Linked DNA regions of Nothobranchius furzeri. The protein of the gene in region 2 interacts with the protein of the main gene of each other region in a biochemical or structural test. Links are inferred from orthologs where the notes say so. Each region holds a gene or a part of one and is shown on either strand. Other genes may lie near its edges.

Region 1 (3,621 bases), about 19 Mb from region 2:
TATCCCACAACATTCTTGTGCACCTTAAATCAGGTATGTGCATCCTATCTTTATCATAAGAGAGGTTAGAAGCAGGAGGGGGGGGGGGGGGGGCACACACGCAGCTGAACGGACAGCTGCTGCAACCCCACCGCCCGCCTCCCCCTCCCTTCCCTTGCCTCCTCCTTACTGCTTCCCACGTGTTGCGTGGTGCGTTTGCATGCTTCAGACGTTAGCATGGCTGCTGACTTGGCTGTTGCCATCTGATTCACAGCATTCCTCGTGCGTGAGCATTAGAACGCACACACTTGCACAGACAAGCAGTCCACCCCAAGGCAGCAACTGCTGGGGATTATCGAGAGAGGAAGTGACTATTAAAATGCCTCTCGCCCACTCACGCTGCATCAGAGGTTCTGGATAATGAGATACTGGCTCCTTCATTTTCATCTTTCTGTTTAGACTCTGCCAAAACAACTACACAGACCTTCTTAAATCAGCAGTTCTCTGTTGTTAATCCTCTCCGAGTCAAACTTGTCCTGGTTTTTATTGCCGCTGTGTGATCCCTTCCACACTTGTGACTTGGGGATGGTTTAGAGATGAATACCAGTCATTGTCTTCACGGACTGCACATCATTTGATGTTCTTTGATGTCACCACAGGCAAGAGCTTCACGCTGACAATCACAGTATTCACCAACCCTCCACAAGTGGCCACTTATCACCGAGCTATAAAGGTCACCGTGGATGGACCGCGTGAGCCCAGGAGTGAGTACCAACGCATGCACGGCACAGAAATGTGCTTATACAACACAAAACAACCAAAATACAACATGTTTGTGTCACACTTCGTTTTAAAGTAGATCAAAGGCTAGTAGCGGTCCACATTTTAGCTGCATCAGCCTTCAAAATGTTAAAAACTCCTTTTCCCACAATACCTCTCCTTAAATGTATCTTTGCATCTACAGTTGCTCATGCAGGATCAGATTGTAGAACAGTGATAAAGAACATTAATAGTGAAACCAGACATCTGAACACAGCCTGGACTTTGAAGCAGGAATCCAGCAAGCGCCTCTAGTGGCTGGTTTCGGTACAGGATTTAAGCCCCGCCCCCTCTATATTTAACTGAATACTACATTTCCATGATCATAAAAGGTTCATACTCGCTGCTGCATGCTCAGATATTTCTATTTCTAATGTATTTAGTCTGTACTGATGTGTGTGTGTATGTGTGTGTGTGTGTGTGTGTGGGGGGGGTTCCATTCCTCTGTGCATTAACTCATTGACTGCCAGCTGTTTCCTGATCAGTCAAACCCGTCGCTGCTGGCGTTTTTCAGCGTTTTTACAGTTTTTTCAAGAATTACAGAGCGTTGCGTGCTTTGATGATGTCAACGCCAAAACTACCAAAGCAAAGAGTAGACTCACCCTCTTACATCAGGAAGAATCTGCGCGTTTCAAACGTTATCCGTTCTTTCATAATACGTTGTTGAATTGTGATCTGCAGAAGCTTTTCCGGTTTGCGCCTCACTTTTTTTACAGCATTGGCCCAAAGTGATCTCCTAACACATGGATGATCTGCTTCCTGATCACGTGACGTGTGACGTACGTGGATGAAGATCAGCTTTAGAACTGGGATGTTTGTTCTCACGGTGCGGGGGCTCGTTCCGACACCCACACAGTAAAAAAAAAATGGCAGTGAATGGTTAGATTTAAAATGACGACTTTTGTCGTTACTGGCAGTTAACGAGTAAATGTGCGAAAGTTACTTTTTCACTGATTCAAACAGGTTTGCGTACTGACCCAATGTGTGAAATGAGGGTTCTGTCCCTTTAAATAAGTTGTGGGTGTGTCTTCGTGGAGCCAACCAATGCTCAGCTAAATACAAAACGCTATTTAAACAAGCAAAATAACAGTCGTAAAAAAAAAAAGCTTTTACTGGAAGATGCTCTAAATCCTGTAAACAGACAATCAACTGGCTTTTAATTAAATGAAACAGTCGAGTTTCCCATGCAAGAGAAAGAAGAGACATAAATGTGAGACAAAGTATCCCTGAGAGGGTACACTGGGTAGCAGAGTGCTAGCATCAGCTTATTTTAATGGGCCTTATAAAAACAACTGAGGAAGAAAAAAAACTTTACTATAGCCGTCAGTGCCAACTGGTCTGGCATGCAGCTGTTTCCACAGACCTCCTCCCTATTCATAAAAAAAAATAACGTATTCTCATCTCAAGGCATCTCATTGAACAATATCACATCACAAACAGTCCACCCAGCCGCCTGCCCTGTCACATATGGCACCAGGAAACACGGAGACACAGAGGAGCCAAGAGACAGTAGGATTACTACCACCATCGCTCTGCCTTGTAGGAAACCTGCTGGCGGTGCCAAGAAGTGCACACACACACACACACACACGCATGGGCTCCACGTCACACTACTCGGAGACATGCGCCCCGAAAAACAAAGGCATATGCAAGTCCTCAAGCGCATATGTCCTCACAATCACGCCCACTTCTCCCCACCGCCCGCTCTCGCTTTTGTTTGATCAAAAGCATTTCCTGTGCATCTGCTGTCCCCCGTCAGATGACTTTCAAACAAGTCTTGTTACTTAGTGGCAAGCAGATGGGAGTCGGAACTGTTTGTTTAGGAGAGCTGAACTTGACCTCAACAAAGTTGGAGCTTTAGGTCTGTCTCAGAAAGCCTCGTGGGAGAGACGGAGCTGGAGACAAGTCAGAAACAGGCCAGGAGTTCTACCTGATAACAGGTGAACGGAAGCCAGCTCTGTCTTTGTTTATCTTAAAGTGTTTAATGTTAAATTTGAAGTTTTAAACGATGTAAACTCAGCTACCTTATCCAAGACAAAACAAATATATACCAAAAGTAATGAGTACAAAGATCCAGAGAAATGTTAGAGTGACGACCAGTGGAGCATTTGGGTCACCATGGTAATCAAATGGGGCTTTTATGGTGTACTAATGCTAACGACATAGTTCCTGGTAGCTAACTTAACTAATAAAAGGCTGATGGGAAATTAGACTAAAAAGTAAACTTTCAGAAAGGCTCTGATTGTACCGCATATGAATTTATACGTTTCTGTGTTTTATGTTGGAGACATGAAAAGTTTCACTTTCAGTTTCAAAGAGGAGTTGGAGCTAAAATGTAAATTAGGATATTTGGGTGTCTGTTCTGAGGAGATTTGAGTAGAAAGTCCTACAGCGGGGAGACACACTGGGTGAAAGAAAACAAAAATACCTGCATTTCCATAAAAAAGTTTGTAAATGTCGTAAAGGGTTTGCAGGAATAAAAATTGTTTTTGCACAAAATTCCAATTTTTGACTATTAAAAGATTGGATCATAATTAATTAAATTTCTAAAAATGATCGAAACTTAAACCCTGATGGTGTAAGAACTAATAAAGACACGAAAGTACCAGTTTAGCCAGCTTTCTGTGACCGGTTTCAACCCTGGATGTTGAAGTCTACCTGAGCTACAGCGCTCCCAAAGGGGCGGAGCTTTGTCGCCTGATTCAGTGAAATCCCACTGTTGTAAACACTAAAACGTCTCTAAATCTTACTGAAACCCAGCTTTCTCATCTTTGTTTTTTAAGATGCAGGATGTTAAAATGTATTTGAATATTATAACCAATT
Region 2 (4,201 bases):
GACATTTCAGATTAATAATAGTTTTATATTTTCAATACATTGAAAGTCAGTTATTTCTGTTGTGGTTTTTACATAATGTGAATATTTTTGCACTTAAAATGTCATTTCTAATGCTAAAATAGGAATTAATGATTTCATTTGGAATTAAAGGCAAAATCTCATTTGTTTAGAGCAAAAATCCTCACATCCCCGTTCTGAAACGCAGGAAAAAACTGTGGTATTTATGTGAAGAAAAATACATTTTTACAAATTATGATGAACAATAAACTTAAAATTTGGTCTGGGTGGTGACTCGGTTCAGCTCTGCACGTTGCCAGGTGTCAAAAAGCGAGATACTTGAGGATTCCCTCTTTACAGGTGCAGTCTGCTTTCGATGAAAGCACACACACACACACACACACACGCACGCACGCACGCACACACACACACACACACACACACACCTAAACTTCCTTTGACGTATGTTTAGCCCTCTTTAGCCTTCCACCCATAGGCTTGGCACTTTTGAACAACCTCAGGAAATGAAATATTTCTTTAATAAAAATCCGTTCCTGCAAGATAATTAGGCTCTTTTTTAAACAATTTATTGGGTATTTTACCCTCTTCCAAAATCCAAAACAGCTCTTTGAGATGTTAACACAACATTTGATAGCAAACACTGTACAATCACTTGTTAGCACATTTAGAAAGTATAAAACTGCTCAGAATGATTTTCAAATATTTGATTATGTTTAACTTCACAGATTTTTAGCAAAAAAGTGATGTGAAGAAAGCTGCACGTGCTTTCTGATAGTAGATCATGTTTATATATATATATATATATATATATATATATATATATATATATATATATATATATATATATATATATTTTAGATGGGTTGCTTATGAAAACATGGATTGTGGTTATTTTAGTTTTGAACCAAACTAAAAATCTGCTTTTTCTACTTGTAGTGAAAACTATTCCGTTAGCTATGATTGTAGTTTACTCACAACAGCCTCTGTGTTTGTAGTTTTACATAACGCCAGGCTGCTGCCGCTCAGACGCTCAGATGGTGTTTCCCATCAAGATCCGCCCACCTCGCAGGAGGATGCACCATATATGGTAAACTACGTATCGGGGATTCCTTGATCTGGAATATTCCACTTATTGGTCGCTGGCTTTAAAAACAGACACGTTCTCGTCGTAGAGAGGTTGACAACACGCTTCTTGGTGATAAGCTTGTCGTATTTAGCGTGTTGGGTTTTTGGCTGCGTTGTTATGCTAGTGTTTATGGTTTCCTCCTGCCGGTTTCAGGTTGAAGACACGCCCCCAGTCGACGTCACGGCCTGGTGTATAAAACCGCTCCGAGATGCCGGAGTTGGCAGATGAAGTTTGAGCAGCAGAGCAGCGACTAAAGGAGTACGATCCACAGGAGCGCTTCCAAACCTGCAAAAGGGATTTCCTCGTCTCCCGTTTACATTCCCCTGAAGTAGTTTGTTTGGATCTCCCGAGCTTCTTTTTAGCGCTTTGAAAGGATGATGTTCACCGCTTTCAACACGGAGTGCGACTCTTCCTCCCGGTGCAGCACCGCGTCCCCGTGCGGGGACAATCCTGGATACTACCCGTCACCGGCGGGGTCTTATTCCAGCATAGAATCTCCACAATCTCAGGTAAATACGCCATTTATGTTATTTTTTTCCCATAATGACTTAAAATAATTTTTTTTTAAAAGTTCGTGGGTGACAGAAATGTTGTGAAATAAAGGGGCAGTTAGTGATTCAATCATGCCATTTTCATGCATTCACCTGGAAACTCCATAGAGAGCATGTAACGTCACAGCTGACATCATAGGGATATTTTTAAATTGTCCAGTTTTTTATAGCAATATGCTGCTGCAACCCCCTCCTCAAACTAAACCACCTTTCACTTCTTCCCTGCAGGATTATACTGAACTGACAGCATCAAGTGCCTCCTTCATACCCACAGTCACAGCCATCTCCACAAGCCCTGATCTGCAGTGGATGGTGCAGCCTCTGGTCTCCTCCGTGGCCCCCTCTCACAGAGCTCACCCCTACAGCTCCAGCAGCCCCAGCCCAGCCTACACCAGCACAGCTATGAAGTCTGCATCCAAGGTTTCCAAGAGAGGCAGAGTGGAACAGGTGATTATCCTCTGCAATATTATGGATTAACTCAAAAGTGCATTACGGAGCAGGGATGTTAACTTTTCTGTTGCTTCTATGATGTGCAGTTGAGCATTGAGGAGGAGGAGAAAAGAAGAATTCGCAGAGAGAGAAACAAGCAGGCAGCAGCTAAATGCCGCAACAGGAGGCGAGAGCTTACAGACACCCTCCAAGCTGTAAGTATCCCGCCAGACTTTGCTTTCACTTATCAGAATGTTTTCACTGCCAGAGCTAATAGCAGTGCATTCCAGCAGCCGACTAAATGCCTCTTTTCCCCTCCTTCCCCTGGCAGGAAACTGATCAGCTGGAGGATGAGAAGTCTGTCCTGCAGAATGACATTGCCAACCTGCTGAAGGAGAAGGAGAGGCTTGAGTTCATTCTGGCCGCCCACCAGCCAATCTGCAAAATCCCCTCAGAGCTGGACACAGACTTCCACCTGTCTTCCATCTCTCCTGTCCACTCCTCCATCCCCTCTTCCCAGCCTGTAAAGTCCGCCGTCACTTCTAGTCAGCCAACTTTCACCTCAGCCTCCAATTCCCTCTTCTCCAGCAGCACCCCCATCCTCTCCACCACAACCATTTCCAACAGCACAGTCAAGATGACCGACCTGGACTCGTCTGTCCTGGAGGAGTCTCTCGACCTGCTGGCAAAGACGGAGATGGAGACGGCTCGTTCAGTCCCCGAGGTCGACCTGCCCAGCTCCCTTTACACAAGTCAGGACTGGGAGCCCCTCCACAGCTCAGCCAATAATGCTGACTTTGAGCCTCTGTGCACACCTGTCGTGACCTGCACTCCAGCATGCACCACCCACACGTCTTCATTCATGTTTACCTTCCCAGAGGCTGAGACCTTCCCCTCTTGTGGCGTCGCTCACAGGAGAGGAAGCAGCAGCAACGACCAGTCCTCCGACTCGCTCAACTCCCCAACCCTGCTGGCCCTTTAAGGACTCTTCCTGGATACATCGTTCTTCCTTAACAAGCACATTCTCCTCAGATATACGTGCACATCAAAGGGCAATAGCACAGACTTGTACATGGAAGCATAATTCTTAATGATTTTATCTGCCTTTATATACAAATATACTTGCCTATTACACCATGTAGCAAGTTAATAAGCATGTTTCAAACAATAGTCGTTCTATGAGTTCCTCTGATTATATGGTGCTAGATAACTAAACGTATTGTTTACTGATGTGTTTTAAGAGCAATACTTATTTATTTTCTGTTAAACTAGAGTAATTATGACATGTTTGTGATAAAAAGACAGGTGTGATTTTGTCTTAACCATGGTCTGAGTGGTCTTTAAAATATGAAGTTTTCTGTGAAAACATTTGTGCTTTTAATTTATGAGAGTTTTATTTTTTTACAAAGTATAAAAATGTTGTTATATATGTGAATAAAATTTAGCGATATTTAAATTCACTTCTTTTGTTTGTTGGACTTTTAATATTATTTATTTTATCAAGTATTTCCGCCCACGTGTCAAAGGACGTTATGATAATGCCCCAAATCGGCCTGAACAGGGATAGCGGTATTTTTCCTGCTCCTTCCTGCTCTATTTATTGTTCCGTCTGTTGCCAAGGTCTGCTGTACGTCAGGGCTGTGACGTCAGTGCGTTTTTTCCTTCTTTTTTTTTCAATTTGCAAATTATGCGCTGTTGCGTTACTTCCGTGCCCAAATACGGGGAGTCGCTGTTGCAGTCTGTGAGCAGAACCAGAACGGACGGTCGGACCCGATGGGTCGGACACAAAAGCGCACCAAAGGTTTCCTCTGAGCCGAGAGCAGCTGCTGGCATGTTCGCCGGAAGACGGAAAGAAAAGCTGTTGCCTTTATTCCGCAATCCAGGCCACATTGTTTCTCACGTCTCTACTGGCTACGACAGCTTCTGCAGACGAAATCACCAGACAGCAACGCTTCAACCACAAAGCTGTGTTTGGTTCTGCAAAGGAAGGTCTGAATGCGTCAAGATGCGTCTCTAAACGCAGCCAGACGCACGAAGAGCACGCTCGTCTCAGAAATAGACAACAATATGCACTTAA
Region 3 (3,621 bases), on a different chromosome or scaffold from region 2:
AACCGGAGTACCCGGAGGAAACCCACACATGCATGGGGAGAACACACAACTGCACGCAGAAAGACCGCAGCCGAGTTTTGAACCTGCAACCTTCTTGCTGCGAGGCAACAGTGCTAACCACTGCGCCACCATGCAGCCCACCACAATCTAAAATCATTTAGTCCTCAACAACTGCAGAAATGACCCCAAAAGCACAAGGATCCCCTGGTTTGGTGCCACTTTAAATATCAGTGTAATTAGTAAAGCACTATTTGACTCTGATCATTCATGTACAGACTTCATAAAAGTCTCTCAGAGTTACAACTCCCGTACGGCCACTCTGCCCTCCGGACTCCGTAATCCCCCTGCCCAGGCGCAGGAACTGGCTGGTGGAAGGAAATAGCCCAGACTGCCCCACCAACAAGCCAGGACACAGTTTCACTTGGCACCACGAGCCGTCCATCTGTTTACAGCGAGCCTCTGCTTCAGAAAGCGAGAGAGCGGAAAGAAGCTCTGCCCACCCGGGGAAGCAGGAATTTCAGAGTATTATGATAAATCAGCTGGCCGCCACTTGGTGTTGTTAGGAGCAATGATGCTCGCTTGAACATGAAACAAAACCACTAAGCTAATTTAGATTTTGACCTGAAACAGAAGTCAACGTGTGCTTTATCGTTTTTCTTAACACCCTTTTAGGAAGACTTCTCTACAGCCGTTCAGACGTTGCTCCCTTTCGATGGAATTTGTATTTTAGATTCTCAAAGACCTGCTCATTAATTACAGAGTGGAGTAACAAGCGACTTTATATCATTAGCAATATTAATTATCATCGTGCTCCTTATTCCTGTATGAAACGGAGCATGAGAGTGGAGTCTTTTTTTTCCCATCAGGATCCAATTAATTCAATGCAACTGCCTAACAGCTGGTGGCATTTCGACTCCAAGTCTTCCCTACTCTCCAGTGTGAGCATCATTAAAATCAGGTGCTGTAATCATCTGTCGCTGCAGTAGTTGGCAAGGTAACAAAAAACAAATGAGACTGCAGTTAGGGATGGGAAGCGCTGCCACATGCCCCAGAATGTAATGCCCCCTTATGATGTGGGTTTAAATTGACATTGGAGCGTTAATTAAAGGAAAGGGGTGCAGAAGTAGCATTATGGGGATTAATGAAATGGTTTGCATCCTCTACACGCTGATAGCTGTTTTACATGCAAATAGGCTTGTGTGACACGGCTACCCCATTGCCTTCTGGGTTTTATCTGCTGAAATAAAATGTAAGGAAGGATATTTAAGCCTCGCGGCCGGCTGTTGTTTGATGTTTTTACAGTCTCCGACAAAGATGAGAGCTGCGAGGAGATGTCCATCCCCAGCAGCCCCCAGAACGAGGCTATCCAGCACAGCTCCGTCAGCACCTCCAATGGGGTTAGCTCCTCCTCAGCTCCGGCCGTCTCCGCCCCAGCCAGTGCCGCTTCGGCTAACCCAAGCACAGAGGAGAGTCAGCCACGGAGGGGCGCTACCAAATCCCAGTCCTCAGGGAGCTGATCGTCCCAAACTGCATCCACGCTGGAGCGCGGCGGTCTCTTCAGACAAGCAGAGGAAATAGTTTCTCTCTCCGCTTCAGTTCAGATTGTACACTTTTTCATTCTCTCTTGATTGCTTTGTATTGCGTTTGGCCTGTTTAGTAATTCATAGGAATGCTTTTAAACATGCAACGTATTCTCTGTAACTGCTGAAAACAGAAGAACATGCACTTTAGGTGTTTTTGTATTTGTTGAACTTGTTTATTGATCTTCTTTATATTTATTGATTGGAAATCAGCCAAGTGAAGTGATTGAGCAGTCAGTTGTTACCAAAGTGTGGTGTTGCTCTTTTTTTAATGCTCTTGAACTTTACAAGCACTACCTTTATGATGAAGATACTTTAAAGCAGCAATCTGGAGTTTTCTCCCTTTCGAGGAATTATGTATAATTTTTTAGAAATTAGTAAAAGTGGTAGTGTTACCTGGTACTGTGATATAATTAGCAATACTTTTTTTTCTTTTCTTTTTTGGGCTCAGATTGCCTCCATCCCATAGAGCCCCGTGCAGTTTGAATTGAGCACTTCTCAGCATTAGCATTAGCCAGTAGTGTTAGACATCCCCTGGTGGTGATGAGCTACAATATAGCCACAGCTGTAATGGCTGACGGAAGCAAGGCTGCCAAACACAGGTGCCACTGGTCCCTAACAACCACCACCAGCAGGCAAGGTAACTTGTCTTGCTCAAGGACACAACCACTGTGACGGACTGAGTGGGACTCGTTCCCACAACCCTCCAGTTACGAGGCGGCCACGTAACTCCTCTACCACCGTCGTCCTAATTGTAAAACAATGTTTTAGCTACGTCTGTCGGCCAGAGGTGCACTTTCACACACGAGGGGCGTTGCTTCCAGCCATGATCACAGAAGCAGGGAAAAGGGCTCATAGGTGTAATACCGTTTTTCCACCTCTAGATGGTGCCCTCTGAGGAAAAACTCTGGATTTTTGCTTTAAGTAAATTTGCTTTGACCATTTTCCACATATCTGAGAGGAGATGGGTTTACTTTTTGGAGAGGTGGCGAGACACTGGCAGCTTTATTAAGAAGTTGGTCTAAATTCTGGACACAAAACCGGAGTTTTAATTTGACGAGTGTTTATGAAAACAAGATCAGCTGTCGTTGGGGAATGTTTGAGCTCGCCTCTGCATGTAAAATAGCGTCACACCGGTGAGCCGGCTGGATTTGCGTCTTTCATTAACACTCCACCTGTAGTCTGATTGTCCCTGAAGCAGTGATTGTAGGATCGCAGTACTTTTTTGTTTATTACTCCGTCATGGTGACGTTGACTTTACTCAGTGCCATTAACGTTTTTGTATAAATTACCTCTGTGCATTAAAAAAAATAAGAATAACCTGAGTTTATTGCTGTTCTCTCAGATTTCTTCTGTTTACTGTGTTTGCTTCATGCGTGTCTTCAGTATCCGATGCAGAACATTTAGGGACATTAGGTTGTTTTCATGATGGCAATTCTAGATGACATTTTTAGTAAACATTGTAAGAAAAACAAAGAACACATCAATATTGAACTTGCCTGTGGTCATTCTTGATATTATGTACTTTGTTATATAAGATTGTACACATTTAGTAGATGAACTCTCTTGATCACATCAAGTTTAAAGAAAATGACCTTTAATCTGATTAGAATGCATCAGTAGATTGTAAAATGAAAATATTCTCATGTGAACTGGAATCGCATCGTGTACTTTAGTTACACAAACTGATTGTGATTATTTGTTCATTAATTATGAGAAACAAAGCCCAGCTTTTAAAGTCAGTTTGCTTTTTCTCTTAGTCCCTACTGGCTTACTACTGTGTAGTTTTTACCAACACATTGTTTTCTGAAAATGGGATTTTTAAAGTTTTACTGTTGTGCTTTCTGCATGAGACAACGATTCTCTACGAGAATTTGACTTTGTTTAATGACGCCTCAAACTAAGAAAATAATGGTCAATTAAACAAGTTATTACGACTTGAGTTGTGATTTGTTTTACCCTGGCTTAAACTGCTTCAAAACCTGGGTGTGATATGGTGTTGACAGTGTTTATGTCATGTGAAAGTTCTGTATAAAATTTC
Region 4 (3,621 bases), on a different chromosome or scaffold from region 2:
GTGAGAGGCAATGACATCCACTCATGACACTCCACAACGATGCATTGTGGACCAAACACACACACACACACACACACACACACACACACACACACACACACACACACACACACACACACACACACACACACACACACACGCGTAAAAGACTAATGCATAAAACTCAATAAATCAATCTGCTGTCTCTCTCTTTCTCTCCGTGTGTGTGTGTGTGTGTGTGTGTGTGTGTGTGTGTGTGTGTGTGTGTGTGTGTGTGTGTGTGTGTGTGTGTGTGTGTGTCTTCTGCAACTAGTGCTGCTTTTTCAGAAATGCATTTTGTTTCAGAACAGGAAAGCCATCCCCCCCCCCACACACACACACACACACACACACACACACACACACACACACACACACACACACACACACACACACACACACACACACACACACACACACACACACACAAGGGAATACAAAAGAAACCAGTGAATCATCAGACTGCGTTTTAAAAACACTGCAGATGAGTAAATCTGATGATTGATTTTTGCTGTAGAAAAAGACTTTAAAGTCCTGCAAGGCGAGCCTCTGTGACACAACAAAAAGCATCACACGGCGATATTACAACATCTTTTTTTTGATATTTTACTCCACTGTTTATTTGGGGGTGTTGTATATTACCCTGTCGATGCTAGCTGCCTTAAAGGATGTATTAATATTTGATTTAATCTCACAAAACTAGTTTTTTCAAGTTTTGGGACTTTTACAGTGAACAAGAGACAATGATGAGATTAAGAGGAATAACGCTGCGGTGAGCTGAGGGGAAGGGGTCCGCTGTCGGTGACGTACACGTTTAATGAGTATAGCAGAACAACATTCCTGGGAATTGGGAGAAGTTTAGTATAAGTTTGTTGTATTTGACGACCAGAACAATTAATAAGTCTTTTCCCACCTGGTTGTTTTCTAAAGTATGCATTGATTTTACAGAAAAAGGTTGAACATAGTGATAAATATTGTTACCTGGATGGGAATTACTTACAGGCTATTGAGAAATCAAATGTTCACATCACACACCGGCTATGCTTAGGTGAGATGCCTATATTCATACAGCGCCCTCTAGAGTCTTAGAAGCCCTTAAGGTGCTTTACAACACACACTCATTCACACACCGGTGCTGATGAGCTACGCTGTAGCCACAGCTGCTCTGGGGCGTACCGACAGAAGCGGCGCTGGAACAGAGCTTAGAACATGTTTAAGATTTTAATTTGATCAGTGAAATGATAGTTTAGGTTAAAACCAGAGTCTCAGGTGGTTCTGACCCGGCCCAAGCAAATGCAGGTATTAACTCACTGGTTTCCTGTCTTTCTCCAGTGGGAAATGTTGGTTTTATTGATCCAACTGGCTGGTCTTTATGATGGAAGTCTCAGGGTGAGCAGAGGTTTTATTTGTTATATTGATGAATTTTTAATAAAAAAAAAATAAAAACTTGAGGAATGGCAGAAATGTGTGTGTGTGTGTGAGAAATTAGATCTAAAGTCAGTTACACCTCTTACATCAGGGTACTTATGGCAGTACATATTGGGTACTTTAGTTACGAGGGCAAGGCCCTTTGTACCCATAAGTACTGAGCCGTTTACGTACGGCCACCAAAAATAATAAATAATTTGACAGTTTCACAAATAAAAGCATGAATAGAATACTATTATATGTATTGTAATACACTCTATTATTTGTTTTGTTGTACTTTTAACTTTTTTACTGAAGTATACTAATTTGATCTTCATCCCACGTTTATATTAAAGACATATTTTCTTTAGTGATGAAACTCACCTTGAAAGCGATGGGCAGAGTCTTGTTGCACCTCCAGTGGGAGGGGAGCACGGAGCACAGGAAGTTGGGACTGTCGGTCTTCACCAGCTCTCCTGAATGGTCCGAGATCACCTGGTAACAAAGCATCCCGTCACTTCCTGAGCGGAGCGGTTATCGGAGCGGTGTGGTTTTACCTCTGCCATGCCGTGGTCTGAGAGGCGCAGCTTGCCCATCAGAGCGCCCCCCCCACTGGCCTCCTGTGCCCCCAGGGGCAGTGCCTCGGCCATTTTCCCTCCCGTGGCGAGCGAGGTGGAGGTGGGAGTGTAACGCCGGCCAGGAGCTGGATCTATTAGACAAAGAGGGAAAAAAGGATATTTTTTTAATTATCTGTTTTAATAAGTCTTATTGTTGTAATGTGATCAGTGGGGAAGAAAACCCATCAGCTCTTAGTATGCAAGGCTAATCTCTCCTTTTACTGATACTTCCTGGTTAACAGAACCAATCCGACTCCTGGTCAGTGTAGAAAAATGCTACATTTATCCGTTTCACTTTCCTCTTAGGAAATAAACAGGAAGTCTCAAATATGGAATGCGAATGCAGCGAGTCGGGACGCGAGTCAGAGATGGATGACACACCAGACAGCGTAACGATTAAACTAAAGTCGTTCCCGTTTGTTCAGACTCCCCACAGATAGATTGTGAAAAGTGATATACTATCAATAAGTTCATCTGAGGACAGTTCCTGCCTGTAGTGTAATTATCATCCATTAAACGCAGGAACTGAACCTGCGGGGATGAAGGATGCAGCTGTTGGTGACTGGCCGGAGACGGGACGCCTCGATGGAGGCCACGGACGCTCCACGGGTGGAACCAAAACCAAAAGCAGCGAGAGGACTTCAGTAGTTTTTATTATGCTGTTTTACATGTTAATGATGGTGAACGGCCATCTGACCTAGGCCACCTTTGGTTTTTAGCTTTGCACCAAAGCCAGTGTCTGACTGGTCGGCAAGTGTTGGTGACACTTTTTGTGTTTGTGAGTTTCCAAAAAGTCTTCAGTTGTTTGCAAACGTTCTGAATTCCCCAGAGAGGCTCAGCCCTGAGAACGTATGAGGCTGCTCTGGCAGGGGTTGGTGACCAGTAGAAACCAGACGGTGCCTGGTGGGAAACAGAAAAATCCTCAAAGCAGCAAAACGGCTAAACAAACAAACGAGAAATCACATCCTAAATAATTCCGCTTCAGGTGGTTTGTATCTAGCAGAAAAAAATGCGAGAAACAGATTCATCCCGCAGCCAAACAAAACCCTGCAATTCCCGTTTTATTCTGCATAAGTAAAGTCTGTGAGACTAAAAAAAAAACACACTTTATTTTCACTTTTAGTTTCAAATCTGCTGAAATGCCTGTAACATCCTGCTGCTGGGGTGGGTTTTCAGTTGGTTGGGGAACAGAAATTTTGTCGTTTCTTATTTGATGAAGAATAAATCGTTGCAGCATGAATAACTACATAGTTGCACTAGTCACCAGTTCTGTTCCTGCAGGTCTAGAATCCTTAAAAAAATTAATTCACAAGATACTTTTTATCTTAGATCTCAGATTTATACCCGATTACTTATATTGAAAGTTTTAATTAGTGATTAACTACGAGGAATTCAAACATGCTGTTTTCTTACTTTTTTAAAAATGTATTTATTATTATTTTTACTGCTTTGTAATTGTTCATTACGGATAAAAATACATGGAAGAGAATTTTATAATCACACTTTCTTAACACGTTAAATATTGGCCGATTCTGGTCACATTCAAATTTGATTTAGTTTTTTTATTTTTTGGTGCAGC

What was found.
Region 1: the proteins of protein c-Fos (region 2) and runx2b form a complex in vitro, tested with the Homo sapiens proteins (2 studies listed by BioGRID). The link is inferred for Nothobranchius furzeri from reciprocal best matches to the Homo sapiens genes FOS and RUNX2.
Region 3: the proteins of protein c-Fos (region 2) and atf2 form a complex in vitro, tested with the Homo sapiens proteins (3 studies listed by BioGRID and IntAct, with this or other methods). The link is inferred for Nothobranchius furzeri from reciprocal best matches to the Homo sapiens genes FOS and ATF2.
Region 4: the proteins of protein c-Fos (region 2) and runx1 form a complex in vitro, tested with the Homo sapiens proteins (2 studies listed by BioGRID). The link is inferred for Nothobranchius furzeri from reciprocal best matches to the Homo sapiens genes FOS and RUNX1.

What each region holds. Positions count from the first base shown.
Region 1 is NC_091742.1:21,554,433-21,558,053, reverse strand, and holds part of runx2b (runt-related transcription factor 2b), read left to right. Parts: intron 1-638; coding exon 639-743; intron 744-3,621. UniProt on the Homo sapiens protein: Transcription factor involved in osteoblastic differentiation and skeletal morphogenesis. Essential for the maturation of osteoblasts and both intramembranous and endochondral ossification.
Region 2 is NC_091742.1:2,309,435-2,313,635, forward strand, and holds protein c-Fos, read left to right. Parts: upstream 1-1,369; 5' UTR 1,370-1,518; coding exon 1,519-1,653; intron 1,654-1,923; coding exon 1,924-2,142; intron 2,143-2,231; coding exon 2,232-2,339; intron 2,340-2,455; coding exon 2,456-3,106; 3' UTR 3,107-3,584; downstream 3,585-4,201. UniProt on the Homo sapiens protein: Nuclear phosphoprotein which forms a tight but non-covalently linked complex with the JUN/AP-1 transcription factor. In the heterodimer, FOS and JUN/AP-1 basic regions each seems to interact with symmetrical DNA half sites.
Region 3 is NC_091754.1:21,204,630-21,208,250, reverse strand, and holds part of atf2 (cyclic AMP-dependent transcription factor ATF-2), read left to right. Parts: intron 1-1,302; coding exon 1,303-1,517; 3' UTR 1,518-3,621. UniProt on the Homo sapiens protein: Transcriptional activator which regulates the transcription of various genes, including those involved in anti-apoptosis, cell growth, and DNA damage response.
Region 4 is NC_091743.1:80,937,601-80,941,221, forward strand, and holds part of runx1 (runt-related transcription factor 1), read right to left. Parts: intron 2,135-3,621; coding exon 1,983-2,134; intron 1,921-1,982; coding exon 1,810-1,920; intron 1-1,809.